2 linked regions of the Oryzias latipes genome follow. The protein of the gene in region 1 purifies or fractionates together with the protein of each later gene. This does not show direct contact. Links are inferred from orthologs where the notes say so. Each region holds a gene or a part of one and is shown on either strand. Other genes may lie near its edges.

What was found.
Region 2: the proteins of bag5 (region 1) and dnajb4 purify together in Homo sapiens (affinity purification with mass spectrometry; 4 studies listed by BioGRID and IntAct, with this or other methods). This does not show direct contact. The link is inferred for Oryzias latipes from reciprocal best matches to the Homo sapiens genes BAG5 and DNAJB4.

What each region holds. Positions count from the first base shown.
Region 1 is NC_019880.2:21,268,064-21,283,828, forward strand, and holds bag5 (BAG family molecular chaperone regulator 5), read left to right. Parts: upstream 1-1,103; 5' UTR 1,104-1,742; coding exon 1,743-1,798; intron 1,799-2,281; coding exon of another isoform or gene 2,282-2,410; exon of another isoform or gene 2,411-2,529; intron 2,530-2,664; exon of another isoform or gene 2,665-3,148; coding exon of another isoform or gene 3,149-3,171; intron 3,172-3,429; exon of another isoform or gene 3,430-3,596; coding exon of another isoform or gene 3,597-3,628; intron 3,629-6,592; coding exon 6,593-7,471; intron 7,472-8,877; coding exon 8,878-9,418; 3' UTR 9,419-12,562; downstream 12,563-15,765. Other genes in the region: apopt1 (apoptogenic protein 1, mitochondrial), read right to left, coding at 222-419, 2,282-2,410. UniProt on the Homo sapiens protein: Co-chaperone for HSP/HSP70 proteins. It functions as a nucleotide-exchange factor promoting the release of ADP from HSP70, thereby activating HSP70-mediated protein refolding.
Region 2 is NC_019875.2:4,277,119-4,293,368, forward strand, and holds dnajb4 (dnaJ homolog subfamily B member 4), read left to right. Parts: upstream 1-7,907; 5' UTR 7,908-8,210; coding exon 8,211-8,421; intron 8,422-11,203; coding exon 11,204-11,784; intron 11,785-13,809; coding exon 13,810-14,040; 3' UTR 14,041-14,307; downstream 14,308-16,250. UniProt on the Homo sapiens protein: Probable chaperone. Stimulates ATP hydrolysis and the folding of unfolded proteins mediated by HSPA1A/B (in vitro).

The sequences.
Region 1 (15,765 bases):
CATCAGTTTTCCTGATGCTGGTTTTTAGGAGCGACTGCTGTCAGTCCAGCCATGTTGGACCCCGTTGTGTGGGGGAGGACGTTTTAACCGAGGAAGGACGTGTCACGTGTCCTGCAGCTCCCACCGATGCCGAGATGTTCCTGAATGCATGTCGGGAAACGAGGAACCTGAAAACCTCGTCTGGACAGGATGGCACACTTGTAAAAAATGTTGGTTTCAACCTGGCTGAAGTTGAGGTTCTGCTGGGTCCAGAACTTGTGGTTCCAGTCCTCCGTCTCCTGCCTCAGGTTTCTCAGCCTCTTTTCCAGCTCCGACTCCTCCTCAGGGATGCGGTAGATGATCGGCCGCAGGTTGGACAGCGGGTTCGGGGGGCCGATCCAGTCATGTGTAGAGCTGGGCTCCGGTCTCAAAGGTGTCCGCTGAAAAATGGAAATATGAACAATAATTAAACGTATTTACTAAGAACAGATGGACTGCAAACCGCAGTCCCATGCCCACATCCTAATGTTTGCAGCATTTGTCCAAAGATGGACTTTACAAGTGACCAAAAAAATGTAAAAAAAAAAAAGAAAATAAAACACCAGAAAAAGGTGTTCGTTTAACCCTGGAGAACCCAGCAACCATTTTTTTTTCAGGGCTTTTAAAGGTAATTAAGCAAATTTGATTTTGTTTCTTCATTTTGGAAAGCAGCAATTAACAGCAACCAAAAAAAACTTCAAATGAAAACCTAAAAATAAAGGAAAAACTAGAGAGAAAAAGAAATAAATAAAAACCATAGAGCTAAAGTTGATCCTGTGGATTCCCCCAGAGTTAAAAACACAGAGACAAGTCAAAAAGATAACTAACAATGAATTAATTTGTCCCACCAGATCGATCTGTCTGAGCCAAGAGGGTAATCAATTCCAATTGACCTCTACCATTAAAAAAATCGTTAAAATCGATTATATTGATCTTGGAAAATACCATTTAGATTGAGGTACAGTAGGTTTATTTGACTATAAGGTCAAACCGCCCAATCACAGCAACACACATGTGATGTCATTAACACGGATCAGTCCATCATTCCAGTCCAATGTGTGGACAGACTTTGAATAAAGTCATGCGACCATCCAGTGTCTAGAATGTTCTAAGAATGTTCCCTTTGGATTCTTTGGATGTGGAAAAACAACAGTGGAGAACTTTAGGAGAAGATCAACCAACAACTGTTTGCTTTTTTCAGGAAACTCTTTTTCAAAGAGGGCCAACTATTCAATGCATTAAAAGCAAATAAACTATGAACATTATTATGGCAATTGGACTCTTCCTATTTCTTCACATAAAAGAGAATTCTATCTAAATACATTTGTACATGAATTTCTGATTAGAAGGCCAGACTTAAAATCCAGAATAGGTCTGCAGCTTTGATGGCCCTTTGGAGCCAGCGCAGTCTGAGGGTTTTTGATGGGACGGCCCCCCAGGCATGATGCAGAGGGAACCAGAGGACTCCAGAAAACCCATTTTAACCGGGCCAAAGCATGTGAACGCATCTAAGAATAACCAACAGAATCCATCAGACTCTGGCGCTTCAGGTTCCTACGGTTTGGGGCTGAGGTGGGTCAGCAGGAGGCCCTGCAGGAGGGCAGCAGGAGGGATGCAGGAGGCCCTGCAGGAGGGATGCAGGAGGCCCTGCAGTCTAACTGGAGGCATCTGCTTATCAGTGCAGAGCAGACGGCAGCAGGAGAAGAGCACGGAGGAGAGCAGGCATGAGGAGAGCAGGGAGGAGGAAGACTCCATCCAGGACCCAGAGGCCTGAAAAAAGGTGCGTTATGACATCACTACCTTCAGCTGCAGAAGTCTTTGGACTTTCTTCATCATTACGGTTACATTTACTACAGTGAATCAGAAACATTAGCCCAAACAAACCCACTGACAGCTGTTACAGATGGGTTCTACTGGTGTCTTTTGATTCTCGCAGCCTTTCTGTGAGGATCTAGAGCCGTTAAATGAAACTTCAGAACCAGATGACGTGAAAATCTCTCATGGTTGCTGATGAAAAGCCTGTCCGTTAGGCCTAAGCAGCACTAAACATAGAAGGAGTTGGTTAAAGCCATGTTTAGTTCAGCCAGTCAGTAACCTGCAGGTCAATTAGACTTTTTGGCTGTGCAGACCTAGTGCGCATGCGTCGTTATCTTGGTTTTCACAGCAGGATCAGAACCTCAGCGTTTCTGATTCCTCCGGTAATGTGAGCACGGAGCCTGGGATAAAAACACCAACGCGGAACGGACTGCGGCGGCGCGCGCACCTTGGCGGCTTTATCCTGTTGGCTCGTTGGATTATTAGAGCCGTTGCGCCGGATGTTTACATCCAGCAGTTGCACGCGGGAGTTCCGCGCGCTCCTCCACGACAAGCGTCCAGCTGCCCCGAATGTCATTCCCGCAAAATCAAGGCACTGTCACGCAGAAAAGCTAAACACGCAACGGTGGCGAACAACCCATGTCTCCCAACTGTATGTCCTTCCGCGAGGATGTAGGACAGGTGGTCACGTGAGCTGCAAAAAACGGCTAGAGACGCTCGGAAACAGCACCTTCGCAAGCCGTTAGTCAAGTCTCTGCCCGACGGGTTCGGAGCAGATGAGGTTTCAAACTAAACTCTAAATAAAACATATTTCTAGAAAGATACTGTCAAAACTTTTCATCGCAAAAGCTTCAAGTACCAAAGCTACAAACTACGTTTTGAGTACGTTATTTAAAAACACTGCTATATTTATGTTTTATCAGAAGCGATAACGAAATAAAACATAAACAAAACGGGTCGAGTTTGTCTCCGCACAGAGTTGGTGATTAAATGGAGCGCACTCGCTGTTGGCCGACAACAACCTTCCCTGCGTCTGAACTGATAAAAGCTTCATTATTAAACGAGATAATGACCAACAAGATTAACCAAAGTGTTAGGAATGTGTACAGATATAGTTGTAGCTGTTGGTTACACTCAGAGATTGAAATATTGATTAAAATACGAAGTGGGAGGGTAGATTCAGCGAAACAATCGAACTCCGTGAAACTATAGTGGCGAGGCTGAGACGGGAAAGTAAGTCCGTGAAGGTGCAGCTAGGCGGGCTAATGTTGATCTTCAACAGAAGGTTTGGGGCTTTTCCTTCGCAGCGGGGTACATGGCTGTTCGCTGGTTATGCAGGTAAGACTGGGGCGGTTCAACGGCGGGTAGATGCCGGCGTAAAGCCGCAGTTTATGCGGTCAAGGTGGGGCAGAGTCAGTCAGGTGATCACCGACAGCTCACAACGGTGTTAACGGGCTGGAAAAAGACCCGGTGGTGGGATTTCATCTTTCGAAGTCAAATATCTGCGCGTGTAGGTCAAGTGTTTGGGGTTTTTTTTATTTTAAAAGAAGGGGGGGGGGGGGGGGGACAAAACCATGTTTGCAGACGTAGTGGCTTAGAGGTGGGAGGGGCGACAGCCGCCGGACTGCAGGCGGGCGGGCAGAGTCTGTCTGCTGGTCGCCGGAGCATCGCGACACCTCCGCGGGCTCCTGTCTGCGCACGCGGCTGCTCCCCAGCTTCGCCGGCCGCCTGCTTTCTGCTGATGGAAACAGACATCTCTCAGAATGTGCGCGAACGTGTTCGGAGTCCTGAAGAGGTGAGGCGGCGTCAGGGCGGGGCGGGGGGGCTGGTTCGGCTTCACGCTCGTCCGCCCGCAGAGCCAGCGGCCACGCAGGGTTTCCCGCGGGGGACTAGCGTTGGCGGGGCGGCTGTTGAACCGCGTCCGGTTCGGGTTCCGAACGGCCGCGTGCGCCTCAGAGGCCCTCTCTGGCTGCTGTAACCAAACGGAGGCGCGCGCTGATTGGCCGTCCGCGCGGGGACTGGACTCCGATTATCCTAATAAATGCTGAGATTTGGCAGCTTTCCCCTCTGGAAATGTCCAGCCCTCTTACATAAACCCGCTTTAGAGGAGGCCCAGCATAATCTGGTTTTGTTAATACGCGTTATTGTTGCCGCGGGAGGAAAAGGTTGCGGCCGCTTCGCTTGTGTGCAGCAGTGATGCTCGCGCGTGTCCGTGCATGTGGTGGAAAACCTGACATCTAATCTATTGAGCTGTTTTCTCCTCATCAGAGGGAATCCAGAACCTCAAATGCATGAGGCCAGAGTCAGAGGACTGCATGTGGGTCTCATTCTGGGGGGAAACTCCTCAGGATGGATGGTTTTACATTTCCATTCAGCTCAAATGCCCTCGTGTACCGTGAAGGTCAGAGGTCACCGACCTGAGGCTCCTGCATCCTCCACTCTGGCTCTTTAGCTGTGAAGAAAGATGCTAATGAGTTGAATAAATAACAGTTTTGGTCCATTTAGTCAATTTTTTCGTCATTTCGGTTTAGTCTTTAATATGTGTAGTAAAGTGTAGACGATTGTCAAAGTTGTTTATTGTTAGAATAAACTTGAAGCCCATTTTCTGATCTTCTGCTGCACAGTGGTTGCAGATCAAATTCTTAAAGGATAGAACTGCATTTACATGTATAGATTTAAATAAAAGAATTCTTCACCAATCCTGTCATATTTATATTTAATGACGAAAGGGGGAAAAAGATGATGGTGCCCTAAAATCATGGTGATAGAAAAGATCATGTTTGATTTGACTTTCTTGTTCTGTTTTTTTTTTTATTCCACTGAATCATGTTGCAGCAGGAAGATCTCTTTTATAACACAGGGTGTATTTTATTTTGAAGGGAACTTGCATGTGCTGCTGTCCAACAGAAGCAAAAAAAAAATAATGTCCACGTTTGTAGAACATTATTATTGGAAATATTTCAAAGCTGCAGTTTATACATGAATGGCTTAATGGTCATAAATAAAATGTCGTTTTGGGTTTCGGTCTGTAAGAAACCGGTCCAAATGGCTCTTTTAGGGTCAAAGGTCACAGACCCCAGGATCTATCTTCAGCTAAATATTCCACTAAAGCCATGCTTTGTAAGTGTTGAGGAGCTTTCATACTCGGCTTGGTGCATTGCTGACCGTACCATTCTGCCGCAGCAGACGAAGCAACGCTTGTCTGTCTTCGTCATCGTCTTCGCGGCTGCAGCTTTGGCCTAAACGGAGACGTTAAAAGGCGAGGAGACGGCTCTCACGCGGTTCTCTTCTGTCGGTGAGCGTCTACAGACGTGTACCAGCAGCTCACGTCTGTATGTTGGGAAGCCTCGTTCTGCCACTTGATCATCATCCTTTTCTGCTTCTCAGTCAATGTTGTTCTCGCTTTTGTGTGGAAAGACGGAACTCCTCGCTCCATCATTTTAAAGTTGATTGATCTGGTCCAAGCACCTAAAATAAAGAAGACCAACTACCTTCTCTAAAGCTGACGTTTAGACTGTTGTCCTCTCCGTTTTTTGGAGCAGCTCTTTGCTTTGACACAACTGACGGACCTGTCTCAGTCGAAAACAGACAGTTACACCAATAAAATCACGAATCCCTACTTTCTGCTTGCTACTCGCTAGCGGTCACATGTTTGAGAACACCCACTAGTTCAAGGTGGTCCGGTTCAGGTGAAAGCCTGCGGTGGAACAACAGGAAGCGGTTTAAAGTAAAGCTGAAGTGTAAACATTTTAGAAGGACAAAAAGATCCTTTGGTTGGAACAAGCTACTGATGAAGACTTTAAGCAGCTCTGGAGCCACCGTGATGCCAAACGCTCATGAGCAACAGCAATGTTCAGCTGAAATAAGTGGGTCGTTTAAAAAAAAAAAAAGGGAATTCTTAATGAAACAGAGCATCCAAACACTGAAAAATGTGGGTCCTGCTAGCTGAGAGGGAGGGTAAAGGGAGTCGATGAGGACCGCTTCCTTTCCCGCCAAGAGTCTCCGCTGCAAGCCCCGCCCCCAGGCTGACACACACACACTTTCTCCGTGGAGCTAGCATTTTTTTTGCGCGAAGCGCAGACACGCTGGCGAGGCCGGCCTTATGACGACGTCATGAAATGGGCGGCACCCCCAATGAGAGAGAGGCGGAGCCTCAGAGATCGGTCGTCTTACTTCAGAGTAGGAAAATGAGCTGTGAGAAAACTCCTATCTCCTAAAAATGGTTCTTTAGTGTGCCAAAGGTCATATATGATCTCATATGATGTAGTTTACTCTGACAGGATCAAGAATAACCCGGTTTAGACCTTTTAGCACATCTGCTAAAGAATGCCTCCACTGTGTGGGACCATGTCAAACATGGAGGAGTAGGTGTGATGATGTGGGGCTGATTAGCTGTGGTTGTGAAGTAGCTGCAGAGCAAAGACCAAAGTAGTAAACATGGAGGGGCCAGAACCGTCTCTAGACTTAAACCTCTCTGAACTGGTTTGGGATGAACCGGACAGAACGGTGAAGGCAAAGCAAACTAAGGAAGGATTTTTCTTTTCATTTCTATCTGTTCATCTTTGAAATCAAAGTTGATTTTAGTCTGTTTGAAACTCATATGTATTTTTTACTCTCCTCTGATTGCAGAGTAAAAAGCCATGACAGTAAATAGGAAACTGGACGTATTAGAGTGTTGCAAAACGTTGCTTCGGGGCTGTTTTTGCTGCTGCCGGCCACCAACGGCTTATTGATCTGATTTCCTTTGTGTTTTCTCCAGCTTGTTTGGGAAGCCCTTTGATGGAGGGAAAAGGATGGACCATGGCGGCCCGCCGGAGCCGCAGCAGCAGCCGTACTATTCCCAGCACCCTGCCATGATGAAGCTGTACGAGGTCCAGAAAGAGGTGCAGTCGTCTCTGGGGCCTCAGGTCTGCACCTTCAGTGGCCTCCAGAACGACCGGGAATACAAGCGTTTGGAGCGGGAGCTGACCCGCCTGCTGTTGGAGGTGGACCAGGTTGACACAGAGGGCAAACCGGATCTGCAAGGGACGAGAAAGAGGGCTGCGCAGGAGGTGGAGGGTCTTCTGCGCTACCTGGAAGAGAACGCCACCCACCCGTCCCGTCTGGCCATCGAGGAGCTGAGCAACGCTGCGCGGCAGCTGGTTGAGGAGCGCGTGGTGGCCCCTCAGCGGGCTGGCGGCGTCTCCGAGATCACAGATGAGCTGGTCGATGCTCTCCAAGAGCTGGTGCTGAGACTCACCCAGATCAAAACGGAGGGGCGAGTGCCGCTTCGCAAAGCTCGCTACAGGGCGCTCACGCGCCTGTGCGCCGTGCAGGATGTGCTGGAAAGCCGCACGCAGCATCAGACCCTGCCCCTGCCGCTGTCGGGGGAAACCCACGAGGCGGTGCACTGCATCAACCAGGTGATGGTGAAGGTGAGCGTTGCTCGCAGTCAGCTCGTGGCTCTGCTGATGGGGCTGAGTGGGCGGGACAGCTGTGCCCACCTGTCGCGCATCTTGACGGAGCTGCAGGTGGAGCTGGACGCTCTGGACGTCTCCGGAAACGCCGCGATCAGAAATTACAGGAAGCAGGTTGTGGAGGAAATAAATGGACTTCTGAAACATCTGGACCTGGAGGGAGAGGGAGAAGACACGCGCAGGTGAGCATTCCACAAAACCCTACGGAATAAGTGTCCACCGTTAGGGGAGTCCCTGGAAGATAGAAAACACCCTGATGAGGAACCATCGCTCTAGTTCTGCTAATCCAGAGTTCTTCATCGTGCAGAACGTTCACAAATGTGGGATGGATCTCATCGTCTGCAGGGACTCTGCTGCTGCTGCAGGGTTTAAAGAAAATAAGGTTTCTGGGATCTTAACATGTTCTTGTGCCATTTTTTTGTTCTGATTGGGGACAAATATAAAGAAAATTAAGCGGAAATTGGCATTTCTGAATATTTGTTTATTAGGTGCCACAGTCAGCCGACCGCAGTCTCCTGGCTCCGCCCCTTTCTGATCACCCACCTGCAGACAGACAGATCCATGAACGTCTTTTTTTTCCCGGTCTGAGCCTGAATCTGGATCAGAACTGGACGGATGGATAGCTATGATGTTGATCGCCACTAATGTTAGGTTGGGGTTGTGAGGGGCTGTGTGCTAACAGGAAAGCGTGTAAACAAAGGGATGATGGGAAATGAGGATAGGCTTACTCCATGCCAACAACTCAGAGGTGAATTTCTGATGAACTCCTGCCGCTCTGCAGAAACTGTCCTAGAAAACAGCAGGGTTTTCTTTCCTCCCAATTTTGGATAAAAATGACATCATCATAATGAAAAGACTGCTGGGAACACTTAGAAAATAGATCAGAAGATGATCGGAGTGGGACTTTAACCACCTCCACCAGAACATAGTCGCCAATTCTGAGCTGGCTGACACAAACCAGAGCCACAGTATGATCGTCCAGTCGCTCTACAACATGTAGACGACAAGCGTGGTCGTCCTCCTTCAGCTTGATGACATCTGTCAGTTCATGCAACTATCCATAGATGATGAAGGAACCCTGGAGGACTTCATCCCACCTAGATGTTGAGAGGCCGTGATGGCTGCATGTTATGTCGATGATGTTGTCCTCTGTCTTCAAACAAAGACGTGGTCCTTCCCAGCAGCCTCAGGGTTTTGAGAGTTAAGGTCAAACTAAAGCCGTGTTTCCACTGAGCGGTCGGGTTTCAATGGTCCAGGCCGTTCGGGTGAGCCTCGGGTCGTCACGCTAACAACAACAGAGGAGGTCATCCAGCCGCTCATCCTTGGTTCTTTTGTATCTACAAAGCAGTTAATGTTGTGAGAGAGAAGATCGCGGGCGGCGAAGAGGTTGGCGCTGGTTTGACGACCCACAGCCAGACAATGGTTTCAGAAGCTCCGCCCTAACCCAAAATGTTATGGGTCGGTCTGATGGCTCCATTTTATAATGGAAAGGCTGAAAATACTGGACCGGCCCGCTCAGTGGAAACCGGGCTTATATGTTGTCAGAGTTGCTGCAGACTCTCATCGTTGGGGTTTTGTGTCCCTGCAGGTACGATTTGGCGCAGAACAACTCCATCCGTGAGATAGAGGCTGTGCGGGCTCACGTCTCCCACTTGCGAGAGGGGGTCCTGCGACACTGTGCCATGGGAGACCTCGGGTTCAGACCCAAAGCTGAACTGCAGAGCCTTCTCACACACCTGGACCAAGTGGACACGGCCAAGAACCCCTGCATCCGGGAGGCCCGGCGGCGCGCTGTGGTGGAGGTCCAGGCTATCATCACTTTCCTGGACCTGCGCGAGGCTTTAGCTTGCCGCCTCACCGGCCCTGACGAGCATCCGTCCCATCGCGCCGTGTGGCTGGTCCTGGGGAGCCTCTCTGACCTCCAGGCGCAGGTGCTGGGCTTCGACGGCAAGAGGGCCGACAAGAGCTACATGATCCTAGAGGAGATGCTGACCAAGCAGCTGCTGGCGCTGGACGCCGTGGACGCACAGGGCGACGAGATGACCAAAGCGGCGCGGAAACAGGCGGTGAAGTTCGCCCAGAACATTCTCAACTACCTGGACATGAAGACGGACGAGTGGGAGTATTGATCCGGTGCCGGGGGGGCGTGGCTGCGGGAGGGAAAGCAGCTGTTTGTAAATAAAAATAGTAGATTTCACGTAGTGTCTAAAATCCCCAGAATGCACTGCTGCAGCGCTTTCCTTTCATCCTCGTGTGACCATGGCCAGCACGGGACTTGTTTTGTGAAGCGCTGGGTGGCGCTTTTGTGCGCTTGTGTTGTGTGTGGTTGTTGAAAACCTGCTGACTGACAGACGGAAGGCTGGCGGTTCCTCCGCAGATGTCCTGTGGCGTGCGCTGCAGGTGGCGGCGGCGTACGCTCAGCTCAGAGGACAGCGGTCCGCTGGCCTCTGGAGAAGGGGTTCGGGTTTGTGACTGATCACAGACTCCATTTGCCCCTCAGTTTCCTCCAGGTACCCGGCTATTCTTTTTAGGAGCAGATGGCGGTTTGTTAGTGTGAATTAAGGGATTTGTCCTGCTTTGTATGATCACACCAGTCTATAAATGGACGGGCTTTGAATCCAGAGAGGCGGAGGAAGCGAGGCGGCGTTGCTGCTTCTCTCATCACAGTCCCTGCAGGAAGCAGCAGAGAGGGCAGCGCTGATCTCCTCTGAACTGACGTATCCAGGCTGAAGCTCCCGCAGCCGACAGGCCGGTCCTGTGGAGGGAGGTGCTGATGGGGATCACAGCTGACAGGAAGTGCTAGAGCTGGGAGATCGTGGGAGGGGAGGGAGGTCCTGAAATGGGAATCTCGGTGCCTTTATTTTGGTTTCTTTTGCTTTGCGTCCATGCGCAGCGGAGAGGCCGCTTTGCTCGTCATCTGCACAGGAAATTAGCCGCTGTCTGGAGCAGAGGCTGCTCCTCCTTCCTGTGGCGAGGTCGTGGTGGGTCATTAGTAGCTGAAGTGACGCTCATCAGGAACAGCGTGACTCCCGGCGCTCTGACACGGCGCCGACGCCAGCGGGAAACGTCAGACCTTTAGTCAGAAACGCAGAACAGACCCTTCTTCCTCACCCTGACCTCTGTGGCTGAGGCGGGTCTCAAAAGGTCTCCTGCTACCGGACCAGAAAGATGTGAGCAGCTCAGAGGTGACGGTGCTGCTCTGCTGTTTTTGGCAGGACTCTCCAGAGTCCGTCCCTGAACGTTCTTCTGCTGTCGGACGGAATCAGAAGCAGCGCTTTGCTGCCGCACACAGAAAAGTCGGTGACGTTTCCCAACCGCTCTCGGATAACGCTTCCCCTTAGTGCAGACTCTCAGAAGAGGATTCCTCCAATGACAACTCCAAACTATCAACACCTTCTAGCAGTTTAGTGGAATTTTTGGGCTTTTCTGATCATTTTAAATGCATTCGAATGAATACATTTATCAAGCACTGTGGTAAAACCATCAGTTGTGGAAATCAAGTGAGTTTTTGACAGATTCAGTTTTATTTCTTCAGCCCTAAATTCCAACAATGGGCTTCATAATTCTAAAGGATCATGAAGTCAGTCATTAAATATCTTAGGTAACTGCTAAACTACAGTCAACTGGGCCTCCAGAAAACAGATTCTGGGACAAACAGAAGAAACCTCAGGGTGTCACCATGAATATGGACTCTGACTCCTGAAGGTGCGAGCGCTTTTCCGGCGTCCTGCCGCTCTGCCCGCCGTGTGGCCGCCACGCTTTCCTGCTGAGCTGAATGAAGGACTTGCTGCTGCTGCTCATGTCTGACCGGGAAGAATGTCCTGACACACGACCGTGTGTGCCGCATCAGAACGTCCAGGCCGGGGGTCAGCAGACTGGATGCTGGACTCTAACAGTTGGCTTTACCGTTTTCTGTAATTGACTTTTACCCACAAAGCTCCACATCAGTTTGTTTGTGTGGTCATCTAAGCGTTTGGCACATTGAAATCTTAATATTTTGGGGGGGAATGACTGAAAGACTTCGTTCCTCCTGTTTTTTATTTTTTTATCTGGGTGTTTTTCCAATCCTCTGGTTTCATAGAGTTGACTCAGCAGCTGCTGCTTCTGATCCTTTTTTTTTTTGTGTTATCTTCTTCTGAAACGAGTGTAACGTGAAGGACGGGCCTTCAGGAGCGGCTGGTAGAAACGAAGGTCCAGTGAAATCGGCAGGTGATTCCCACAGGTGAGCTGAAGGTTCAACTGACACACACAGACTGACTGAGCTTACGTTTACTGTTACTTCATATATTTATGATGCTCATGTTGGTGGTATTTATACAGATTGTGGTTTCAGAGCAAACAGAACTCACTTCCTCACCCAGACTGCAGAGTTTCTCCACAGCTCGCTGTTGCCGGGCAGATTTGACCTCGGGACAGTTGAGTCCATTAGACCTTGTGCTATCTTGTGGGGTCCAGATGACCCCACTCCCAATCTGAACGTGGTTGGAGGCAGTAGAAGGAGCCGATGGGCCTTCACAGGACATGAATGGAGTCCTTCCAGAAGGTCTGTCTGCGTAGCAAAGTGAGCTGAGATGAAAACTCAGAGGTGAAAAGAGACGAGGCTTTGGCAGATTGGGATTCTGTCGTCTGGAGGACAGGAGACGAGCCGACGCCTACAGATGGTTTGGTGACCTTCTCCCAGACTTCTCATGTCATGCGTTGTTACACGAGCAACACAAACATGAACGGTGGAAAAAGAACACGTGTGTGAGGTTTGTGTCACTTCCAGATGTGGGATTTTCTGGGTTTTTCTTCAGGTGGGGGTTTGATTCCTGGCCGCAAAGCCCCACATGAAAAGCCTGGAAATGTTTGAGTTGGTCCCTCTGCTTCATTAAATATTGTACAGAAGGAGCCGGATGGTTGCAAACCTCCTTCCTTCAAACCGTGTTGTGTTCCCAGCATTCATTGCATCTTTCTTCATCCCCGTCCGTCTGCGGCCTGCAGAGTTTTCTCGCCGTGGGCAGGTGGAGGTGTCACCACTATGTTTGACGCTCCAATCGAGAATTGGACTTCTGCTTGTTGTTTTTTGTTGCCTTGCTTCTGCTGACAGGAATGTGTTTTATCTGAGCTGGATTTATTTTCTCAAGTCGCCTTCAGCTGCACTGATTGTGATGTTTATCTGAGACGCGCTTGTACAAAAGCCCCCCATGCTCCGTGTTGTGTGAAAGCCTCATGGTCGGCTGTCTGTGGACTCGCTGTTCCCACTGCAAAATAAAGACGGCGTCTTGTTTTATGTGCAGTCTTCGTGTTGTTTTTTCTTCCTTGTGGACCCAGAGGCGTTCTCGAAGCTGTAATGGTGAATTTTAGAGCCAGGCCATTTCAGGTAAGCATGAGACGAGGGATAAAAGGTTTGTTCCTGATGGAGATGTGCATTAAACTTTTATCGTCCTTGCTGGAGGACACATGGCTGCTCCAGCAACCATTTGGTTTGTGCTGCATCTGGTCTGACTGAGACCTTAGTCCACAAAACTCTGAGTCCCGGGTGGAATTCAGTGATGGGATTCTGAAGTCTGTTACGTATTTTTTCCCAGCTTCTCTTCTGAGAATATTTTTAAATAAATAAAATACAGTTTGTTCCACTCATGAGCTAAATGAGCCAAAAACGTGTAACATCCTATGAAGCTTCTTCATCGACTCTCCTCCTCTCCCTCTGGCTGCACTTCTCCCTTTCTGCCGCTAGGTGTCACTAGTGAAACCATGAGGCGGTCCAGCAGCATGTTTGCCTTTTGGCCTCCACCACAGGAGCAGACGTGGATGGATGGACTTTATTATTTATCTTTCAACACAGCAGAACAATTTCAAATTCATAAGTACATGTAAAAAAATCTCAGACTATACTTTCCACAGACAGTTTCAAACATCTAATAAGATGGTATTCCTGGCCAACGGGGTTCTCCTGCCTAATGGCAACAAAGGGAAGAAGTGATGGAGAGGATAAGTGACGTCCTCCTCATTACCGATCGCCTGTTCAGGTCACTGAGAGGACCCAAACATTTGGTGGCCATCCATCCGTCCAGGACCAGGTGTGGGGGGCAGCAGTAAAAGCAAAAAAGCCCAGACTTCCCTCGCCCTGACCACTTCCTCCAGCTCCTCTGGGGGGACCCAAAGGCTTTTGGCCTGGGTCTTCCCCGACGCCTCCGCCCAGTGGAACACCTCCCCATGGAGGCGTCCGGATTAGATGCTCGAGCCACCTCAACTGGCTCCTCTGGATGTGGAGGAGAAGCGGTTCTACTCCGAGCTCTCTACGGGTTCACCCCCCATCTATAAGAGATTTTTTACGATGTGGGCGGTCGCCCAGGGCGGCACTGCATAGGGGGCGGCATTTGCCGTGCCCGATGCGTAATGTGGTAATGTGGTACATACGGTACATACTATATTCAACGAGGTAGCTTGAAGCTTTTAAGTTGAAATTGCTTCAGTAGCCGACACTTAATGCTTTTATTTTGACACATCAGACTCTTAATAATGTTTTCCTCCTATTTCCTCTTCACACTTATGGTGCAAAAAAAAAAAAAAAAAAGAATAATTCAGAGTGAAACAACGTAAAACAGGCAAATGAAAAGGATTTAGGCATAACAAACATTCGTTTTTTTTTTTTTTTTTATTTATAGAACACAATACAAAACAATACCAGAACATTTACATAAAATTACAAAATATGGCGAATACAAAAGAGAATACTATAATTGGAAAGGAAGCAAAAAGAAGAAAAATTCTTATCAGTATGCAAACATAAACCTATTTATATTCATAATCATAGAGAAATCAGGGAAAAGTATAACATAAGAGAACAACAATTTCAGAGTTGGATAGTGTTGCAAAAAGCAGGGGGATACAAAATATAAATAAACTGTCTTAGACATCAGGAATATCACTCAGGGTGTCATAAATTGTTATGGCTTTAGGTGAGTCGATTAACTTTATGGATTTTAAGTATAAATTGACCTCATTATTAAAGAAGCTAAAGCTGGGGTGGCATTTCTGTAACCTATTTTTGTGTATAAAAAACTTGGCTAAACATAACACAGTATTGATACATACATTATTTACATTGTTGTGTAGTGACAGGCCAAAGATTATGATTTCTTTGGAAAAGAAGTCCATGATGAATGGAAATTTATGTCTTAACCATTTGTAAACATCCAACCAAAACACTTGTACAACATTACACAGGAAAAATATGTGGTCGATGTCTTCTCCGCAGTTTGGCAGAAGGAACAGCTGTTGTCATCAATGTTGAAACGTAATCTAAGTAGTTCTTTGGAAGGATAAATATCATTCATAATTTTTAAGTGTGTTTCTTTAACTTTTGGGGGAATAGGAAGTTTCAAGAAATCGGTTCTTAATTTAAGAACAACATTTCGTTCAAATTTCTGCAGTATATTATTTTTGTTCTGTCGACCAGGAAAAAACCTTTCAATGAACCAATTTCTGATAAATGAGTTATTACATTTTCTGTCCATTAGAGGGCATCCTTCAATTGACAATGTGGCTAACTATGGTTTTATCCTTAAATGTGTCATTGTGTTCCTTGTTAGAAATACAAATTCTCGAGGAAGAGAATTGCGTACTTTTAAAAATTCTGAAATAGGAGGATTAAAGTTATGTCTTAAACAAAATTGCTCATAATCTAATAAATTTCCTTCCGTATCCATCAGATCAGACACCGACCAGACACCTCTGTCAAACCATTCAGCAAAAAACAAAGATTTGTTTCTGTGGAGGATGTATCTGTTGTTCCAAATGATATTTGAGTGTGGCGAGAAATTATGCACATACAAGATTTTCCAGTATAGCAGAATTTGTTTGTGGAACTCTGATAATGCTATAGGGAGCTTATTAATGTCAAAATCACTAATAAGCACCAACTTTAACCCGCCTAATTTGTTAAATAAATAATTTGGGACACAAAACCAGAAGGATTGGTTGTGTTTGATCCACGATTTCAACCAGTTTATTTTCAGGGTCCCGTTAAGACAGTCAAAATCAATAACTTTGAGACCCCCATCCTTAAATTCTTTGACCATATAGTTTTTTTTCATGTAATGAGGCTTGTTTCTCCAAATAAAGTTAAACGTCATTTGGTTGATGGATTTTATCATTTTGTTTGGGATGGCATTAGAGTAAGATGGATAAATACATCTAGACAAACCCTCCATCTTTGTCAGATAGATCCGACCCAGCAGCGATATGTCTCTTTGGAGCCACATATTCAACCTCGTCTTACATTCATCAAGTTTTTCACCCACATTCCTTGATTGGCTTATTTTTTGGTCTTTGTTGATATAGATGCCCAAGTATTTAATTTCTGATTTAATGGGGATATGATTGATTTCTTTTAAGGGTGTGTCATGAATAGCCAACAGTTCACATTTCTTTAAGTTTAAGTTTAACCCTGATGCTTTGGAAAAATGTTTGACTTTTTCAATAGCTGCTT
Region 2 (16,250 bases), on another chromosome or scaffold:
AATGCCCACACTGTGCCCTCCAAACAACACTTTTCTCCTCTTTTCCACCTCGCCAACGATAACTTCTACTTCACATTGAGTGAAGTTACGTTTTTTTGATTTCCTCTCTGTGTTTGGCATGGTTTCGCAATCAATGAATATTCATTTGTGGGCGTTTCACGGACTATTTATGGGCAACTATGGGCGTGTCATGAGGCCGCAAAAGCTGCACTGCATTTAGAACTGATTGTGATTTATAAAGGGAAAGATGCGTAGGATGTGCGTGTGCACGGTTTTATAAATCCGAATATTTCTGTGCGTACGCACATCCTATGTTTCATCCGTACGCCACTTCTGACGCAATGCCTACGCAAAGTTTTATAAATGAGGCCCCTGATGTGCATGAGTTCAAGACTTCAGGCTGTCATTGACAACAAAGGGTTTTCAACCAAATATTAGGAATGACTATTTGGTTTTCAGTTATTTCATTTGTCCAATTACTTACGAGCCCATTAAATGAAGGGATTATGTTTAAAAAATAATTTAGTTTTTCACATTTTTCTGCAATCTTTTTGTACAACCCATGGAATAAAAGCTGAAAGTCTGCGCTTCTATGGCATCTGAGTTGTTTTATTTAAAATTCACTGTGGTAATGTACAGAAACTAAATTAGAAAGAATGTGTCTCTGTCCAAATATTTATGGTCCTGACTGTGTCAACACTTTTTAACCATTCCTAAAATTTTAATTCTAACCAATTTTTTATACCAATTTAAAGCAATTCTTCAAATCCTAACTGCCATATTTGGGTTTTAACATTCTTCAAAGTTTGTACCACCGTAGTCACTAGTCACCAGTTTTACTTTACAGGAAGCTCCAGTGAGAACTGTGAGGAAATGATACATAAATATTGATGTGGCTGCAAATTTGATCAATATTTGACATCAAGCTCCGGCTCAGATTTTACCTGCATCCTGGGATTCAGTGGATGAACATTTTAACAAAAAATTAAAGTCAGCCATTGATCCTGTAGCTCCACTTATAACAAAAACTAAAGCTACAGCACCCTGGAGGAAGGAAACAATCAGACCATGAAACGTGAATGCAGGAGGGCAGAGAGGAGGTGGAGGAAAACTAAATTAACTGAACATGAAGAAATGTTTAAAGAACAACAAACAATTTACAGTCATGCAATAAAAAAGCTAGAATCTCCCCCTCCTCCGACTTGATTGTACACAATGAAAATGACCCTAAAGTTCTTTTTGAAACAACAGATATTCTTACAAAAAGAGACTCTCAAAGGTCCTCCACAGCAGCATCGGATGCTACATGTGATAGTTTGCAGACCACTTCAGGAGTAAAATAAATGCTATAAGATCCAGTCTCTTAACTCAAAAAGGTGTTGCTTTGAATGAATCTCTGGCATTTTATTTACCAGAGGAAACACTAGAGAGTTTTGTTCTGGTTGATGCCGTGGTACTTGGTCAAGTGTTCTCCCAGTTAAAGCCAACCACCTGCCTTTTAGACCCAATCCCCACATCACTGTTAAAAACACTTGACGACTTCTTTGAGTTTGAGCTTTTAAACATTGTAAATTACTCTCTTCAGACAGGTGTCTTCCCTGCTGCCTTTAAAACGGCAGTGGTGAGGCCTCTTCTGAAGAAGAGTAATTTAGATCCAAGCAACTATCACAGTTATCGTCCAGTATCCAACTTACCGTTTTGAAGTAAAATGATTGAAAAACACAGTTCCAATCCAGTTTAATGAGTTTTTAAATAGAAATAACATCTTTGAAATGTATCAATGTGGTTTTAGGAGAAGCCACAGCACAGAGACAGCCCTTAATAAAAAAGTATTAGATGTAACCTGGACTGTCAGACACTCTCAGTCCTGGTACTACTGGATCTGACTGCTGCATTTGACACAGTAGATCACAGTATTTTACTCAACAGGCTGAGAGGTTTGAGCATCTCTGGTACCGCACTAAAGTGGTTTTACTCCCATCTCACAGATCGCAGATTATGGATACATCCTCTTCAAAGGTCTTTGAAATCAACTGTGGAGTCCCCCAAGGTTCATTGTTTCTTGATGATGAAGAGTCCGTCAACATTCTTTTAAATTGCATTTTAGAAATGCAGTCATGAATGGCAGAAATCTTCTTACAGTTTAACCAGGACAAAACAGAGGTGTCAGTCATCAGTTCTGAGGGAGACTGTTTAATCTAAACTAAAAAATGACAAAAATTCTTCTTTTTTTTCTTTTTTTTTAACTTATGTCCAACAGCTCAGCAAACAGATTAGAGCTGAAGGCCTTTTGTGTTGGACAGGTTTTACTATCACAAAAAGAGGTTATATAACTTCAAAAAACCAGAGTGTAAATTTGTATAAACCCCTTTTTGTTACTTTTTTATTTCTTTGTTACGTTTAGTGTGTGTGGGGAGGGAGAGAGGAAGAGTGTGAGGGGGGTGGAAGAGAATAAAAGGAGGAGAGGTGGAGAATGTGGGGGATACAATCGCTGATTTGAATAAGTCACTATTTTAAGCTGTGTAACAATTATACCAGATCTGCTGGAAAGGCAAATATAACATCAAAGGTGAAATTCTGACACGAAGATGAGCGGAAGGTGTCTGTCCATCAATACATTGTGGGTTAGGAGGAGGGATAAAGCCAACGGGGAGCAGTGTGGTGACATGACAAAAATGACAAAACTTCTCAGTGTGTGAGAAACCTGGGAGTTATTTTCGACTCTGAGATCAATTTTATACCACAAATTGAAAATACAACAAAGACAGGATTTTATCATCTTAAAAATGTTGCCAGAGTCCGCCCATTTCTCTCTCTTGCCAGCACAGAGGTTCTAATGCATGCTTTTATTTCAAGCAAATTAGTTTATTGCAATGCCCTCCTCTCATGTCAAACTCAGCCGCATGCGTGTTGACGAGGATCAGGGGGCAGGAACACATTACACCGATTTTAAAATCGCTGCATTGCTCGTTGTGCGATTCCGGATCAATTATAAAGTTCTCTTATTGGTTTATAAATGTTTTTATGGTCCTGCTTTTCAAAACTGCATTTTTCTTTCAACATTTCAAAACGAGTAACCTTGCCATCTTTAATCAAACCTCCAAATTAGTAACCCTTTGGCAGAACAATATTTAGAATGAAAATCCAATTTAGTTGGAGCAAAATTAGAATCGTGGGCATACCGTTTGAATAATGAGCGTTCTGGTTTTAATTCTTTAACTACGTTTTTCCATAAAGAGAGTGTACACTTAAACCATGGATTACAGACATTGTCAATTTGTTTTTGGGTATTTGAGTCCACCAGGACTGTTTGTATGGGAATAGTGAGTATATTCTCCAACATGTCTTTCCATTTAGCTTTATAGTTCACATCACACCAGTTAATCACCGTCTTCATTTGAGCTGCCCGAAAATAATCCTTTAGAGAAGGCAGGCTCCATCCTCCTTCATTTTTATGTAATTGAAGCGTTTTAAGGCGAATCTGGGTCTTTTACCTCCCCATATGAATCATAAAATGATTTTGTCCCATTTATTAAATTGGTTTTGAGGGATATGTATTGGTAGCGTCTGGAAAAGGTAAAGTAGTCTCGGTAGAATATTCATTTTGATGGATTCAATTCGGGAAAATAAAGTGAAAAAGGGGATCAAGTTCCAACGTTTTACATCCTCAACTATCTTTTTTTGTAATGGGATGTGATTTTCCTCATATAATTTGGTCAGGTTTTTGGGTATGTTTACACCTAAATATTTTATTGATTTTGTCAGCCATATCATCGGTTATTGCATCGCCAAAACTGCTGGTGGGCAGCAGTTGTAAGCAAGTATTTGAGTTTTATCCATATTCATTTTATACCCAGATAGGTTTCCACATTTTCTGCACAGATTCATCAGTTCAGGTAAAGATTTTGTAGGTTTTTATATATTAAAATACAAATATATTAAAATACAATCTGAGTAACACGCAAGTTTGTGTTCCTGTCCTTGAATATTTACTCCTTTGATGTCTTTGCTTTGTCTATTTGATTGTGCCAGCGGCTCTAAATATGAGGCAAATAAAAGTGGAGACCAGGCACAACCTTGTTTATTTCCTCTCTGGATTGTAAAGCTGTTTGAGAGATAACCATTAACTTTAACTCTTGCTGTGGGATTGGCATACAGAGCCTTCACTGTTTCAACAACTGTGTTATGCAATCCAAATTTAGTCAATGCTTTATACAGAAAATCCCAATTTACTGAGTCAAATGCCTTTTCCGCGTCTATAGCTTTATTTTTAGATGTTTTATCTGCTCTATTATATTATAATATCTTGTGTCTGCCTGTTTCTTATGAATCCAGTCTGGTCGTTACATATCGGACTGGGTAAAGATTCCTCCATTCACCTGGCCATAATTGAGCTAAACAGCCTGTAATCTATATTAAGGACAGAGATCGGTCTATATGAGCCACACTCAGATGGCAGAAATAATGGTTTCATTCCAACTTGGTAGTATTTGTGATTTCTTTAACACCCAGTTAAATGCAAGAAGCATTAAAGGGGCCAACTCATCTTTAAACTCCTTATACCACTCTGCCGTAAAGCCATCAGAATCCGGTGACATTGGTTTTCAAACAACTTATGGCTTTCCTGAGTTCCATTCATGTGACCTCTGCTGTCATTTTCTTATTTTGTTGATCGTTCAGAGTTGGTAGGTTTATGGAATTAAGAAAATCAATCTCGTCCTCAGTCCTACCAGGTACTTTGGAGTACAATTGTTTGTAAAATGCTTCAAATGCTCCATGCATCTCACTTTACTTGGTTATAATGTTTCAAGTTTCTGGATGTTTGATTTTGCTAACAGTGCTGTCAGCAATTTTCTTTTTCAGTTTCCATGCTAAAATTTTCATTGATTTGGATCCACCTTCGTAGTAGTTCTGTTTCAAATACATTCTTTTTTTCTTTATGTCTTGCGTACTAAGATTAGTTATTTCATTTCTAACTTCTTTTAATTGTTTCAGCGTGCTTGTTAAAGGGTTTTTTTATGTTCACTTTCTAATTGTGTCAACTTCTTTTGTAATTCTTCAGCCTTTCTATTACGTGTTTTCTTCCTATGGGAGGCGATTGATATAATTTTCCCTCTTCTGACAGCTTTTAATGTGTCCCATAGTATTGAAAATGACACTTCTCCATTATCATTTGATTTAAGAAAATCTGTCATTTCTTTTATCATTATTTTTTAAATATTTATGTCTTTGAGCAAGGATGAATTTAATTTCCAAGTGGATAATTTTGGGCATGTGTTTAAATGAATAGTTAGATATAATGGTGCATGATCGCTTATGTCTATTCATCCCATTTCAAATCTTTGAATTCTATCTTTAACTTTCCCAAAAGTTAGGAAATAATCTGTTCTGGTATAAAGTTAGTGTGGGGCCGAGTAATGAGAGTAGTCTCTCCTTATAAGGAAAAGATCTCTCCATATGTCTATCAAACCAACCTTCTCTAAGATTGCAGACTTTTTAATATAAAGTATTTGGTTCTTGTAGTCACCCACTAGAACTATCCAAGTCAGGCCTTAGTCTGATGTTTAGGTCTGCACCACAAATCAATAGACATTGGGTTTCTGTTTCCAATTATGTTCATAATATTTTTAAAGAAACTCAAGTCGCTTCCTGGTGGTGCATATGCATTCACGAATGAGACTAGATTACCGTCTATCGTTCCCCGCACGAAAACAAACCTACCTTCTTTATCCTTAATCTCAAAAGACTTTTCAAAGTTTAAATTTTTTGAGATTAGGATTGCCACGCCTCGCCAGATTTGTATGAGGAGAAAAACATATTTGTAAAGCCCATTTTCTTTCATTTTTAATGTTCCCTATCATTTATGTGGGTTTCTTATAAATACACCACTTGTGCTTGCTCTTTCTTCATCTTAGTTTGCACTCTGCTACGCTTATTAGGATTTGTGAGTCCATTAACATTAAAATAAATAACTTTAATACCTTTCATCACTCTGGAAAAAAATGCACGTTTCAAAATATAGATAACTTATTGACTGTTCAACTCTCATAATGAACAAGAACAAAGAACAGTAGTAACAACGTGATTCCAAGGTTGGGGTCTTTCCTGTCAGACCCTGACAGATGTTGTGCAAGTCCAGGGGGAGACCTTTCCTCCGGGAGTAAGGGCCCCTGATCATGTTTTTAATACTCGTTTCTCCGTTGCCTCTCTTCTTGGATACATTCAACTGCTGGGGGAAAAGTACTCACAGACCTTAACAGGACAGTTTGTCCTTATTGATCCTCTGCAGAAGGGGGGGACGCCTCCCAAAGACACGAAGCTTCTTGCGGATGATTTCCTCTCGGTGCTCCTCTGTGCATCACACTGGTTTTATGCATATTTTTTGTGCAGTGTCTTGCTTTTTGTTTTTATAAATCAATTAGGTTTTTTATGTAAAGCACTTTGAGTAACACAAGTTGGAAAAGTGCTATCCAAAAAAAGTTAGATTTGATTTGATTTGATATATGCAAGCGTGGCTTTTCTGGTAAGTTATCTAAGGGTTGATTTGATTTTTATTCTTTTGCACAATTAAAAGGGACCGCCAAAAAAACTGTAGGCTTATGGCTTTCATCTATACATTTGCACAAAGATGATAAATAGCTTAGAAGAACAGATGTAAATAAAATACAGAAAATAATACACTGATAGTTTATCAGACGTTCATCACAAGGTTCATCACAACATAACAAGATACACGTGGATTACATTTTACAATGCACAGTTTAAATGTTTATAGGCATTTTTTATTAAATGTTAGATAGTAACATCTTGTTGGGGCACTTGGGGTTCTGGGATATTGGGGATTTTTTATTTTCTAACTTTATTATAAATGTCAGTTTCAGTTCAAAACTATTATTATACATTGTAAATCAATACAAACATATCAATAATATAAAATAAATCACAATAAAATAAACAACATAAGGAGCCAGGGGTAGGAACAAACAGACAAAATCACACAATGAGTATATAGAAGTAAGAATGAAAAAACATTGCAGAATTGGAATTTGAATATTTTCTAGCTTTTTTGTTGTTTGAAAAATGAAAAGTTTCAATATAGTTTGACCTCCACTAAAGTTAAGAAAACGTTGGAATTTTGTTAGAAAATTTGCATTAATGAAAGTAAAATTTAGCCAGGAAGATGAATGTATTTCTTAAAAATCGGATTGGCATATTCCTGTGATGGCGGAAGCCAAACAACACAAGCAGATTTGTAACAAAAGAAATCACAGAAAATTTGCCCAGAAGATTGAGTAAAGGGGGCAATGCTAAAATAGATGAGTAACTGTTTCAGGTGAAAGTTTACCAAAGGTATACATTTTGTCCATATGGGGTTGTGGGGGATGTGGGGTGTCCTGCCTTGGTTTTCTATTGTGATGTCAAGAAGATAAAGCAGGTCTTTTTTTGTTCACTTTTCACCTGTGCGGGGTGTAAAGGGCCCCTTTATAGAGGATGACGAGCTTCATCAGCATTTGCTTTCCAGAAAGAGCCGCTCAATTCCAGATCAACTTCCGTCTCTCAAATAGAGTCCACCGGAAATACACTGTCAAAATAAAAGTGATTTGATGGACGAAAGCGTCACAGTCGGGAGCGGTCCGAGCGGACACGTCCAATTCAACAAACTGTTATTAAAACTGTTTCTCTCTATGAATGAAAGAAAGTGACATTTCTGCAAACTAATGAATTAGAAGGTTTTATGTATAATGTATTGAAATGTTTTATTTTTTTATTTAAAAAAACGAATTAAACATATTGAAACAGTTTTAAAAAGTGAAAAAAAATATATATGAGTATAAATTTACATTTTCAACATTTTAGTACGCAGTTAAAGTCCGAGCTAACGGCTAACAGGAATCACCGGAAATGGGATGTCGTGGTTCACGTGCAGCTTGACTTTGGCGCTGTGGATGCAGGGAGGGCAGCCGTGTCTATTTAAAGAGGGTCGTCCAGTCGCGGATAAATAACAGAGGGTCCATGACGTTGACTCAAGCGCCCCCAAATGCCCCTCATCTCGCGCTCCGTCTCTGCCCTGCGCTGATTTAACGTCGACACTTTGGCTGTGAAGAGCATCGATCATCATCGAGCCGGGCCAGAAGCAACTGCTCTGCGGGGCGATTCCGATTTTTATTTGATATTTCTGTGTGATTTTTGTTTGTTTCCTTTTTTAAAAGATGGGTAAAGATTATTATAAGACGCTGGGGATCTCTAAAGGAGCCACGGACGAGGATATCAAGAAAGCTTACAGAAAACAAGCGCTGAAATGGCATCCGGACAAAAACAAGTCTGCAAACGCCGATGAGAAATTTAAGGAGGTCGCTGAAGCCTACGAAGTCCTGAGCGACCCTAAGAAAAGGGACATTTATGATCAGTATGGAGAGGAAGGTAACGTTCACGCCGTTTATCGCCCTTTCTCCCTCTGAGTTGCCAGATTGGCCCCCAAATCCCCCCTTCAGGTCATGGTGATGCATGTGGATGGCTGGGCCAAAAGCACAGTTGGCTTCAGTTCGAGTCCCTCAGTGTCAGGGGAAATCCAGAAAACAGCTGTTCGGCAGACCACTGTACCACAGCTCTCTGCAGTTATTGAGGGTTTGGCTTCATGCTTCTTATTTTTTTAAATATAAAAACGACCCACAGCTGAGTTCTGCACCCATTTTTGAAGCATGAAGTGCTTTATTCTTGTCCCTATTCTTTAACTATGACTTTTTTCATATTTTATCACTTTAATATTTTATTTTCACTTTTATTTTATTACGTCAAAGGGTGATGACAAACCGCTGATTATCTGTGAAAATCAGGTATGGATGCTGACACTGAAGAACTAATCTGCCTGAGTCAGAAGATGAGTCATGTCTTTAATGGGTCTGGAAATGTCTTTCCATCATTAATGAGTGACATTCCACCATTTTCACTAGAATCATATCAGCATCACACGATTTACACTCAAGTTACCTTTACAGGCCACATTTTTAGCCTCAATAGATGGTTTTGAAATGCACCATCTGCATCCCTTTAAGAAAGGAATGCTTTTCCACTATTGCCATGGTTACCACAGAAGTGTGGATGGAGGAAGAAGAGCAACCTACTGTGTGGTTTTGACACCATCACCTTTCAAAGATCCACAGAAATGCTTTTAGATGTGTGGGATTCAGGATGAAGGCAGGATTAAATGTAGCCAAATCTATAGTTTCTTTAAGTATTTTTTATTTTATAACCCTTGTGCTATCTTCTTGCGCTGAGCAAGCCAATACCTGTCTTTTGGGGTCCAGATGACTGAACCTTTTTTCTTCTTTTGTGATCTTCACTGGTGTCCATGGATTACATGAAATCCTTCCACCTTTATCCACCTTTGTCATAGTAGGGAGAACATGTCAATTAGGGTGGGGTCATCTGGACCCCACAGGATAGCATAAGGGTTACTGGGATTAACGATGTAAAGTTGGTTACAATCTAAAGACCGTGTCATACAGCCGCTACATACTTTTTCCTGATTTTCCTCGTATGAAATTTCGGTCTTTCGTGACACATTCAGGACATTCGTCATTCATAAGTGCTTCTTGCGTTCGTCGATGTGCATAGATGTCCGTCGGTTTCAGCTGACGGTCTTTGGGTGAATTTGGTTTTGAGCTATTCAAAATTTTCGGGCGGTTGAGATTTACACTGTTTGGCGTATACTTACATAGAATGGCGTATACTTATATAGTGCTTTCTACCTTCTTTCAAAGGCCCAAAGCGCTTAACAGTCACAGTCCCATTCACCCATGCTCACACACACATTCACACACTGGCACCAACCTCCCACCAGAGGCAAGGTGGGGTTCAGTGTCTTGCCCAAGGACACTTCGACTCATGGGCGTGCAAGGCGGGAATCGAACGCGGAATATTACAATTATGGGTCGACCGCCCTACCGCTGCACCACGGCCGCCCATTTACTGTTGTTTAATTATTACGCAAATCTTACGCAATTGTGCGTGATTTTTGCGAGATGCATATGCAAATTTGTGTCTTTCCACAACCGTTCCACGAATGTCTAACAGATTTTTCACGCATGAACCACCGATGTGTAACTTTCATATTGCGTGTATGGCGCACATTTCATGTTAAAAATATGTAATTGACACATGAATTTTGGGCCAGGTTTGGCTTTTACGTCGATTTTACGTGTTATTTGCGTGGTTCATTCGTACTCCCTCTTCGGTTTTAGGGTGATTCATTTTTGATACATCTGTGAAAATTTCACATAAAGACCACAACTTTCTCAATCTTTTCACGTATGACCAATTTTCATCCGTGCAATATGCGAGAAAAAACTGTGACACGGCCGCAAGAATTTTCTCAGATTTTGTTTTGTTTCAAAGGCCCTCACTTTATGATCAACCTGGCAGGAGAAAAAGGTGTTTAAGTGGGTGAAGAGGTCTAGTCTTCCCCTTATATATCTAAGACTGTATTCAGACTGGACATTTGGTTCGCTTAAAGTGAACCAGAGTTTGTTTCCCCCGAAAATCCAGAATAAATTTTCATTATGGTCATACCCAACCGGCCCCTGGTCCGGGAGCAGAAACCGCTCTCGGACCCATCTCTCAAGGTGGTCAAAACAGGAAAGTACAGTAGACGGCAGTCTGAATACAGACTAAGTGCAAACTTCAGGGCTCGATCTGGACCAATGGACTTTTTTCAGTCTGAACACACCGTCAAAGTCCAAGTCATTGTTGTTTTCCATTAAACTTACCGTAGGATAATTGATCATAGTTTAACCTCTGAGAAAAGACATATCTTTCAGCATATTTTACCATCAGAGGTATCATCGATCTACTGTTAACTTCATAAAGTGAAACCGTCTGAGAGATCCAAAGCTTTACTCCTCCTCACCAACTTTATTGGAGACTGCAGATCTTCTTTGGAGAAAAACTGTACTAGAAGTCCGGATCACATGACTAAGCTCTCAGATAAATGGTAAATGACAAGCAAACACAAGACACATTTTCAAATGTGAAAAAACTGTCAGAACAACAGTTTTTTTCCTGTAATTTTGTAATTTAACAGAGCTGCTCGTGGATTTGTTGCATTCAGTTCGTTGCATCCTCACATTTACAGCCTGTTGTTGCATTGTGACACATTATCTCCTCTGTGTCACGATACTGATGACTAACTTGTGTTGTCCATCAGGTCTGAAGGGTGGAAGTGCTCCGGCTGGCGATGGACAGGGCACCAACTTCACCTACACCTTCCATGGAGACCCTCATGCCACCTTTGCCACTTTTTTTGGTGGCTCCAACCCTTTCGAGATGTTCTTTGGGCGCAAAGCCAACGGACGAGACGACGAGGACATGGATGTGGATGGGAACGACCCCTTTGGCTCCTTCACCAGCTTCAACATGAACGGCTTCCCTCGGGACGGCCACGTGGGCCTTGGCGGGCAGCAGCGTCGGAAGCAAGACCCCCCCATCGTGCATGAACTGAGGGTCACCCTGGAAGAAGTCTTCCACGGCTGCACCAAGAGAATGAAAATCTCCCGCAAAAGGCTGAACCCAGACGGCAGGACCATGCGAACGGAGGATAAGATCCTCACCATTGAGATCAAGAGAGGCTGGAAGGAGGGGACAAAGATCACATTCCCACGGGAAGGCGACGAGTCGCCCAACACCATTCCCGCTGACATCGTCTTCGTCATCAAGGACAAACCTCACCCGCACTTCAGGCGAGAGGGCTCCAACATCGTGTATCCTGTTCGTGTGAGCTTAAGACAGGTGCGTTAGTTCTATTTCAGTCTGGTACATGGATTCGTCATATCGGCGAGTTTATGAGCAAGTTCACTTTGAGTGGAGAACAAAGCTCCAAGCTTTGGACGCCAAACAGCTGCGTTACAATCAATAAACCGGAGGAAGTCTACCTCAAACCCCGTACTGAATGAACATAGTGCTGATCTACACACAAACACTTATGCAACCGACATCATCCACATGGAGGAATGGGATCTTCACGACCCTTGCAAGGCGACGGTCGCCCACACGCAACATGTACTTTTCTGGTTCCTCCCACTCTCCTCGGCTCTCAGTGAGAAATTTCACAGCCTCGTCTCTGAATGTCTGATCGCCGCACGCTAACCACACAAGATCAGCCCATTCCCGCAGTGAAACACACCCAAAAAAACTATCCGTCACCATGACGGCAACGGTGAAACTGTAGACCGAGACGAGAGTTTCAGGTCGTTTCACTGTCAGAGGTTTTCCTTTGTTTTCCAAAAGTTTGAACCGGAATAAGAAACAGTTAAACTAAAAGATAAGGCAGTCTAGAGCAGACAAATGACCTGATGATGATTGTTGAGGTTAGTTTGAGCACAACAGTGCAAAGCGGTGTAGCCTCAAACTCTGACAGTCTCATCATCATCACACAGGTCAAGAGTGCAGCACTCACACTTGGACCTTTGTATCTAGACAAATGGAGGAGACAGATTCCATCAAGTTCTCGTGAGAAACAGCTCTCCACAAATAACATCTGATGATAAAGAAGCTTCAAGATGCTTGAGAAATGTCAGATCACAGCTTTGTCACAGTAACACTGCTGTAGCTCCAGATCAGTACAAGTAATTATACATTGCAAAAAAGTATAAAAGGAGACTATTAAATACATATCTGCTTTGTAATGGGTCTAAAGTGATTATGCTGTAGAAAAACTAAGTCATACCCTAACAGTTTCCTGCTAACGTCTAAAAACATGTCATCTATGAAGGCTTTCACCTTTCCATTGGACTGTGACACCTCAAACCCAACGCATGATTCGACTCCCCCATGATTATTTTAACCCACGCCCATCATCTAGAATGGAAGCCCCACTCCGATCATATTTTGATCTATTTTTAAAGCGTTCCCAGTGGTTTTTCAATGATGATTATGTGGTTTCTAGCCAAAATCTAAAAACCTGTATCATTTTCTAAGACATAGTTTCTGCAGAGTGGCAGGAGTTCATCTCTGATTGTGGGCAGGACTGCTGGGTGGAAGTAACCCTCCTCTTACATCCCATTATCCCTTTGTTTACACTCTCTCTCACTAGCTTACAGCCCCTCACACCCCCAAACTAACATTTGCGGTGCAACAAAAATGGCGAGCAATGTTGGAGCTATCGAGGCGTCCAGTTCAGATCCAGATTCCAGCTCAGACCAGGAAAACAATGATGCTCATGGATCTTTTGGACTGCAGGTGGATGATCAGAATGCAGCAGAGCAGGAAGACTTTGGTCCCCCCAATTTCTGTTGCTGTATCACAAACATAAGCTTTTTCAAACAGGGTTTTCCTCTGCTCCAGATTCGCAACAAATTCAACAAAGAAATACTCAGAAATGCAATTAATCTGAACTTTCTTTATATATGTCCTCCATCATCAGAAAATGCTACAATAGCATGAAAAAAAGCACAATTTTCATTGGTGTGTGGGTCTTTTAGGAGATGTGATGCAGACTTTAGAGAAAACTCACTCCATAAATAAACATACAGTTTCCTAAACACTTTACGTCACTGTAAAATAACACTTGGCCTTTAAAATATATTTTATATTTCAAGTGAAAAAGCTATTAGCAGATTTATTTTTTACATTTGATATACTGTAGTTTTTTAAATAAATCATTGTTTACACAGTTTCAGCTGATACAGAAGAACGTATAGTTTAGGGTCAAGACAATAGCTGAAGGTTTTATTCCGTGCATTTCAGTTCTCACCTGCAGACGACCACAGGCGTGTTTCTACTGTCTAACTGGGCGTCCTTTTGTTTACTTTGCAGTCCTTGTGTGGATGCTCGGTCACCGTGTCAACAATAGACGGGAAGACATGCAACATGAAAATCACGGATGTAATCAAGCCTGGCCTGAGAAAAACGGTGACGGGACAGGGTCTACCTTTGCCCAAAAACCCGGAGCAGAGGGGCGACCTGGTGGTGGAGTTTGACGTGAACTTTCCGGATGCGTTGCCTGGCAACGCCAAGGACGTCCTGAAGCGGCACTTGCCTGCTTAGTGCGAGGCAGCAGCATGACGGCGCTCAGACCCTGAGAGGAGACACAGCCGCTGGAGACCAGCTGTGACGGTACGCAGACGGACGCCCAACCGACGAATGTGCAATTTCTATTTTTGAGCTTTTCTAACTGTCACGCATGCTGCCAAACTGATACAAGTGCAATGAAAGACTGTCTGGACTGTTATGTACTGGGTTGGATGGAAGCTGGCTTTTGCCACAGTCACAGCAGATGACGTTTGGTTGCAAAAATATATTTGCCAAAAAAAATCTTACAGAACTCCTGGAAGAAATGTATTGCCAAATGAAACCTTGATTCTTATAGGTCTGACCTGATTCAGTGACCTGTGTGAAACTCTCTTTAGTGTTTTATTTTGATGGATTCTGAAGCTCTCTTAATATTTGTGTGCAAGATATCCAAGAGGTATATGGCTGTATGCAACAAGTGCATTGTAGGCAAAGACTTTCAAGGCCGTGTCACACAGCCACTGCGTACATTTTGCGCATTTTCTACGTGTGAAATTTGAGTCTTTCGTGATCCAGGCGTGATATCCATTCGTGTTTCTTGGGTTCGTCATTCATCGATGCACGCAGATGGTGTGGAATTATGCAGTTTACGCATATTTTACGTAGTTTAATTATTACGTGAAGCTTACACACTTACGCGTGGTTCGCAAATTTGTGTATTCCCACGACCGCTCCACGTATGTCTAACAGACTTTTCATGCATGTACAACTGACGTCTAACTTTCCTATCGCGTATACGGCGCACATTTCATGTTAAAATTATGTAATCGATGCACAAATCACTAATAAATTGCCATGTAAACAGCGCAATAATCTCACACGGTTCATGTTCTACGTTGATTTACGTGTTCTGGTCCAGATGACCCCACTCCCAATGTTAACGTTGGAGGTGGGGTCATCTAGACCCACTAGACAGTGCTCTGAACCTTTTTTCATCAATGATTTGTGATCTTCACTGGTGTCCATGGATTACATGAAGTCTTTTCACCTTTATCCACCTTTGTCATGGTAGGGAGAACACGTCAATGTAAGGGTGGGGTCATCTGGACCCCACTAGATAGCACAAGGGTTATTCAGTTACGACCAATTTTCCTCCGTACGCTGCAATATGTGCTAATTATACGTAGTGGCTGTGCGACACGACCTTTTTAGATGATTCTTTGTTGTTTCAGTTATGGAGTAGAAGCTTCTGCAGATTTCTCCTCCGTGAAATCAAGTGTGTATTAACTGTACTTGATTTAGCATTGCTCCTACTCTTTGTTTTATTGGTAGTCTGTGTAGCATTTCTCCAAAAAAGGAAAATGACTTCATGAAAACAGGTTCTTCACAGCAGCGGGAGAAAAGTAAATGATATCTATTTTGATAGCTTACTGTGAATATTTTGTTGTTGGTAACCAGATATGTACATTTTGGATATGCAAACATCAGAATAAAAAAACCCCCACTGTTTAAGGAAGAGCTATGATGACATAATTATGACTGTGTAAATATAGCTGCCAGCTCTAAGCTGCTTAGTGTCAGCCTCTGACACAGGAGGCCTCTGCCCCACCAGGGGACGCCACATCACCCATCGCAGTGTGGGGGTCTGGAGACGAACCCTGGAGGGGCTTTCTGTGAGCGATGCTCTCCAGTGCAGCCCTGAGAACGTCTTCTGCAATGTTTGCATCGCATGGTAACTGCATGCAATAAACGGAATCACTTTTTGGAATTGATCGTCAAGTTCTAATCAGTGGGTTTGGAAATGAAGAGTGGTAACTTCATTTTTTTGTTTTAGATGCATTAATTATTAAATTTAATCTAAAAACGTGGTGAACGGAAAATTCTGACGGTCTTAATCGTTTTAGCCAAAATGGAGAATTTTAAAAACTAACTAAATAAATAAAGGTAAGGGTCAAAAATATGCTGTTGAGTCAAAACTTCAGACTATAAAAGTGAAATTCTACAGTAAAAGTATAATATTCTGAACAAACCTTTGAGGGAAAAAAATAATTTTGTTCTAATTAAGTTGAAAAAATTAAGAATAAAGTAAAAATTCTGTGTTATATATTTTTATTTTGATAAGTCAGAAGTTCAATGCACTTTTTGTCTGAATCTGTTTATGGTGATGAGGCATTTATGCTGGGAAATAAGTCATTTTTGGCTTGTGCTGTTTTTGTCCACACGTTTGAAAAGCTGCGTTTAAAATA